Oryctolagus cuniculus: one gene and its partner. The protein of the gene in region 1 purifies or fractionates together with the protein of each later gene. This does not show direct contact. Links are inferred from orthologs where the notes say so. Each region holds a gene or a part of one and is shown on either strand. Other genes may lie near its edges.

Region 1 (3,661 bases):
CATGATGATCAATCTGAAGTTTACAAAAGATAGCTTTTAAATACAGTGTCTCCATGGTCTTATAAACATATTATCTCATTCCCTAAGTGTCCTTAAAAATCATGATTTTGTTATAGAATTACTTTTACAAATGAATGGCATCAGTATTTTATACTGGTTGATTCTCTTCTGCTATTTGTAAGTTTGAAAATAATTGTGGGTAGAAGACACATTTGATTGTCTCAGATGACTTGAATTGGAAGGAATAATACTTTGGAATTTATTTCTCCAGAAGTATAAACCGAGGGCGACACCACAGCGAGAGATCACAGAGGACCCAAGGCCCATCGCTTCCAGCAACGCCAGTCTTTGTGCCTGTTCCTCCACCTCCTCTGTATCCACCTCCTCCCCATACACTTCCTCTCCCTCCAGGTGTTCCTCCTCCACAGTTCTCTCCTCAGTTTCCTCCTGGCCAGCCACCACCTGCTGGGTATAGTGTCCCTCCGCCAGGGTTTCCTCCTGCTCCTGCCAATTTATCAACACCTTGGGTATCATCAGGAGTGCAGACAGCTCATTCAAATACCATCCCAACAACACAAGCACCACCGCTGTCCAGGGAAGAATTCTATAGAGAGCAGCGACGACTGAAAGAAGAGTAAGCATTTTAATTTGAATTACTAGACACTTCTTTCATTTTCTGATATAACATTAAATAGGTATGTTTGGAAACATTTTACAGTGTTTTCCAGTTAGTACAAGAAAATTCACCTAAAATTTAAACCAAAGCCATACAAGCAACTTCCTCAGGGATTCCTAGTTATTTGTAGTTTTAAAGTGGAAAACTAATGGCAATTTCATTCATTTCATTCATGATCTAATTACATTTGTCTTGTTAGTTTTCTTAAATGGTTTTTGTTAACTTTCACTCTTTAACTTTATTTTACTAGGGAAAAGAAAAAGTCCAAGCTAGATGAGTTTACAAATGATTTTGCTAAGGAATTGATGGAATACAAAAAGATTCAAAAGGAGCGTAGGCGCTCATTTTCCAGGTTAGTGTTTTGCAAGCCTTCACAACAGAATTACAAATGGGACTTGAATATCCAGGGATTAGCTATGGATATAATAGCATTGCACTTATGAAATTTTTCTGATTCGGTCTAGGTTTATAGAAATGGAGATGTAGCTTATTTCCCAATATCTGTTTATTGAAATAATGTCTCAGTGTAAATTTTATTGTGGTAGAACTAGCAGTTATGGGGATTAAATTGCCCATGTCCCTTGAAGTTATTTATAATGTGAAGTAATTGGGAAATGGTTATGGAAGGAAAGAAATAGGGGAATAGTCTTTAAAAACATTTCTGAGCACCCTTTCACCATAAGGCTACAGCTTCTTGCTGGAACATTAACCTGTGTAATTATAAAGTAGTAGTACAATACAAATTGCTTTATTGATAGAAAATGAACTATAAACATTCCCTGGAAGTTTGTTTAAAATTTTTTTATTTTTTTCAACTTACACTTGAGGCGTGGTTTTTTTTTTGTAAAGCTAGACTATTGGCCAGTGTAGGACAAAAATTGGACTCCTATTAAATAATCAGATAGGAAGTAAAATTTAATTGGCATTTTGTTTAATGTTAATTGGCTCATATAACTCACGGTACATTAATGCACTCCACTCCTAATTGTTAAGACTTCACTTTTGTTTTGTAACAAGTGATTGCTCTGATTTTGTGTATTTTATTCCATCCAAATAGAGGTCACTGTGCCTCTTAAATCATCTGAGATGAAACTTGATATAAAGAAAAAAAATCAAACCGTGAGGAGAGAATACTAGAATCTGAGAATCTGTATTTTATTTTGATATATTTCTCAACTATCAACTGTTGTTTTGTTTTTGTTTCTAGGTCTAAATCGCCCTATAGTGGTTCATCGTATTCAAGAAGTTCATATACTTACTCTAAATCAAGATCGGGTTCAACACGTTCACGCTCTTATTCTCGGTCATTCAGCCGTTCACATTCTCGCTCCTATTCACGATCACCTCCATACCCCAGAAGAGGGAGAGGGAAGAGTCGAAATTACCGTTCACGATCTAGATCTCATGGATATCATCGATCTAGGTCAAGATCACCCCCATACAGACGCTATCATTCACGATCAAGATCTCCTCAGGCATTTAGGGGACAGTCTCCCAGTAAGCGTGCTGTACCTCAAGGGGAGACAGAACGTGAATATTTTAATAGGTACAGAGAAGTACCACCACCTTATGACATAAAAGCTTATTATGGGAGGAATATTGACTTTAGAGACCCATTTGAAAAAGACCGTTACCGAGAATGGGAGAGAAAATACAGAGAGTGGTACGAAAAATATTATAAAGGTTATGCTGCTGGAGCACAGCCTAGGCCCTCAGCAAACAGAGAGAACTTTTCTCCAGAGAGATTTTTACCACTTAATGTCAGGAATTCCCCCTTCACTAGAGGCCGCAGAGAAGATTATGTTGGTGGACAAAGTCATAGAAGTCGAAATATAGGTGGCAGCTATCCAGAAAAACTTTCAACAAGAGACAGTCACAATCAGAAGGACAATACAAAGTCGAAAGAAAAGGAGAGTGAAAATGCTGCAGGGGATGGTAAAGGAAATAAGCATAAGAAACACAGAAAAAGAAGAAAAGGGGAAGAAAGTGAAGGCTTTCTGAACCCAGAGTTATTAGAGACTTCTAGGAAATCAAGAGAACCTACAGGTGTTGAAGAAAATAAAACGGACTCGTTGTTTGTTCTCCCAAGTAGAGATGATGCTACACCTGTTAGAGATGAACCAATGGATGCAGAATCTATCACTTTTAAGTCAGTTTCTGAGAAAGAAAAGAGAGAGAAAGATAAACCGAAAGCAAAAGGTGACAAGACCAAACGGAAAAACGATGGATCTGCTGTATCTAAAAAAGAAAATGTTGTAAAGCCTTCTAAAGGACCTCAAGAAAAACTAGATGGAGAGCGTGAAAAATCTCCTCGACCTGAACCTCCACTTAAAAAAGCCAAAGAGGAGACCCCAAAGACTGACGTTGCGAAATCATCATCATCATCTCAGAAAGATGAAAAGGTCATTGGTACACCCAGAAAAGCTCACTCTAAATCTGCAAAAGAACACCAAGAGACAAAATCAGTCAAAGAGGAAAAAGTGAAGAAGGACTATTCCAAAGATGTCAAATCAGAAAAGCTAACTAATAAGGAAGAAAAGGCCAAAAAGCCTAGTGAGAAAAATAAACTGCTTGATAGCAAGGGAGAAAAAAGAAAAAGGAAAACAGAGGAAAAAGGTGTAGATAAGGATTTTGAGTGTTTTTCAGTGAAAATCTCTAAACTAGAAGTAACTGAAATAGTGAAACCATCACCAAAGCGCAAACTGGAACCTGATATTGAAAAAATGGACAGGACCCCTGAAAAGGACAAAGTTTCATCAACAGCTCCAGCCAAAAAAATCAAGCTCAACAGAGAAACTGGGAAAAAAATTGGAAGTGCAGAAAATACATCTAATACAAAAGAGCCCTCTGAAAAATTGGAGTCAACGTCGAGCAAAGTGAAACAGGAAAAAATCAAAGGAAAGGTCAGACGAAAAGTAACTGGAAACGAAGGGTCCAGTTCAACTCTTGTGGATTATACCAGGTATTTGATTGTGGGTAGGTGGG
Region 2 (2,370 bases), on another chromosome or scaffold:
CTGCTGAGCTTACTTGAAACATGACCTGGTCATGGGTACATTTAATGATGATTGAGCGGGGCGGGGCGGGGAGGCACCTTTTTTGTTGTTATCAGAAAGTGTCCAGCAGACAGGTTGTCTGCTTCCGGAAAAGCCCGTGGCTGGACCAAGTGTGGGAAGTGCAGGATCGGAGCGCTCTTGACACTGGCCGTTCTTCCCCCTAGGAGAGCTGCGGCACATCACCAAGCTGAAGCCCTGGAGCCTGTTTGATGTCCTTGTGGAAAAGTATGGCTGGCCCCACGAAGACGCTGCGCAGTTCACAGATTTCCTCATCCCCATGCTAGAAATGGTTCCAGAGAAGCGAGCCTCTGCTGGCGAATGCCTTCGGCATCCGTGGTTGAATTCTTAGCAGATTCTACAAATCCAGCATTCTGTGCTAGCACATGTTTTCCAGTGCATTGGACCTAAACGGGGACTCTCATTCTTTAACAGGATTGCAAGTGAGCTGGCTTCATCCTCAGACCTTTATTTTGCTTTGAGGTACTGTTGTTTGACATTTTGCTTTCTGTGCACTGTGGTCCTGGGGAAGGGTAGTCTTTTGTCTTCAGCTAAGTAGTTCACTGACCACTCTCTTCTGGAAACAATAACATGTCTCTAAGCATTGTTTCTTGTGTTGTGTGACATTCAAATGTCATTTTTTTGAACGAAAAATACTTTCTCCTTTGTGTTTTGGCAGGTTTTGTAACTATTTATGAAGAAATATTTTAGCTGAGTACTATATAATTTACAATCTTAAGACATTATCAAGTTGGAACCAAGAAATAGCAAGGAAATGTACCATTTTACCTAATTCTGGCAGAGGGACGTCATTCCTGTATGATAGTGCATGTGAATGCGCTCTGTGAATGTGAACTCCCACCAGGTGTGGGACGAGGACTCAAGTGCAGAACAGCTCCAAGTCTCGAGTGCTTTACAGCCTGAGCCGCATGCGGCAGATTTTACTGCTCCGAGGAGCTGTGCAGACTTTTCATTCCCTAACAGTCCGTTCATGTTGGACTCGAAACGAAGTGGCTCTGGTTTACAAGGTGTCACTCCCCATATGGCACCTTAAGGAAGGAAAAGACATGCTTCTCGTTCTAAAATATGCATTATGATTTAGCAGTCCCATTTGTATTTTTTGCATATTTCTAAAAGTACCTTTAAAGGAAAAGGGTGATTTCCCTTTAAAAATGTGATGACTGGGTACTATGTGGTATTGCCTCCTCCAAACACTGTTAAGTTAAATACATAGATTAAATTGGACAAGAGAAACATGTTTGGTGTGTGGAATGGAAAAAAAAAAAAAAAGAAGCCTCTGTTTTTTCGAAAAGCTTGGTCGTGTTTGTCTAGCACACGAGGTATGGGGTTTAGAGTTTGCAGTGCAGTGGGCAGAACGCTCCTCACAGCTCGGAGGTGACAGTGGTCACGCGCATTCTGTGGCTAGAACAAACTGTACGCGGTTGCTCATTGCCTTTCCATGAACGGAGTGGAGAACATGATTTTCCCTTTGCAGGTTGCACACAGTAGTGTCTATGCATTTCCTCAAGATCAGTTGTAGAATCCAGGACACAAACCATAGTAGGCAATACGATTTTAGAATGTAACATATGAGGTATGTTTAGCCTCTTTTAGAAGTCAGTGGAGTGAATGTCTCTTTATTTTAAATTTTACATTCTTAAGGTGCCTCGTTTTTCTTGACTTTGTCCATTAACTTTTACCCATATGCCTTTGCAATAACTAGATTGTGAAAAGCTAACAAGTGTTGTAACAATAACCCATTGTTTGAGGTGCTTGCAGTTGTCTTAAAAATTAAAGTGTTTTGGTTTTTTTTCCAGCCATTGCCTTGATCATTGCCCTATATTTGAAGTGATAAAATCATCATGACTTTCTACCAGGGTAGTGGCATCAAAACTAAAGGAAGTAGCAACATTGCTGTCACAGCAAATACAGTGCAGAACATGCATTAAGGCTTATCATTAGGGAATAAAACCGAAGTTTTGTTATGGGCAGAAGTGTTCTGGGGAAGATGGCTACAGTATAGGTTCATTACCTAGAATTTCAAGTGATCCTTTCTCATCTTTCATCAAAAACATAGTAACTGCATTCTATTTGAACATCTCAGACTTTCGTTTTTGAAGAACAGCATTCACCATGAGAGAACAAGACACATAATCCTCTAAGGAATTAGCTCTAGCACATGCCACCATGAGGTAGAGTGTATCACCCATCCGTGTAATGTGCATGGACAGTTTGTCTAATAAGGCTTTAGGTTACCTTTTAGATTGTGTGACACATGGTAGCTGTGGACCAGTGAGGCTATCCACGATTTCCATAGGAAACATTTTTACAAGA

What was found. The genes of interacting proteins can lie anywhere in the genome.
Region 2: the proteins of RBBP6 (region 1) and SRPK2 purify together in Homo sapiens (affinity purification with mass spectrometry; 4 studies listed by BioGRID and IntAct, with this or other methods). This does not show direct contact. The link is inferred for Oryctolagus cuniculus from reciprocal best matches to the Homo sapiens genes RBBP6 and SRPK2.

The regions. Positions count from the first base shown.
Region 1 is NC_091450.1:14,870,810-14,874,470, reverse strand, and holds part of RBBP6 (E3 ubiquitin-protein ligase RBBP6), read left to right. Parts: intron 1-271; coding exon 272-634; intron 635-926; coding exon 927-1,028; intron 1,029-1,883; coding exon 1,884-3,638; intron 3,639-3,661. UniProt on the Homo sapiens protein: E3 ubiquitin-protein ligase which promotes ubiquitination of YBX1, leading to its degradation by the proteasome.
Region 2 is NC_091434.1:139,341,613-139,343,982, forward strand, and holds the end of SRPK2 (SRSF protein kinase 2), read left to right. Parts: intron 1-203; coding exon 204-388; 3' UTR 389-1,852; downstream 1,853-2,370. UniProt on the Homo sapiens protein: Serine/arginine-rich protein-specific kinase which specifically phosphorylates its substrates at serine residues located in regions rich in arginine/serine dipeptides, known as RS domains and is involved in the phosphorylation of SR splicing factors and the regulation of splicing.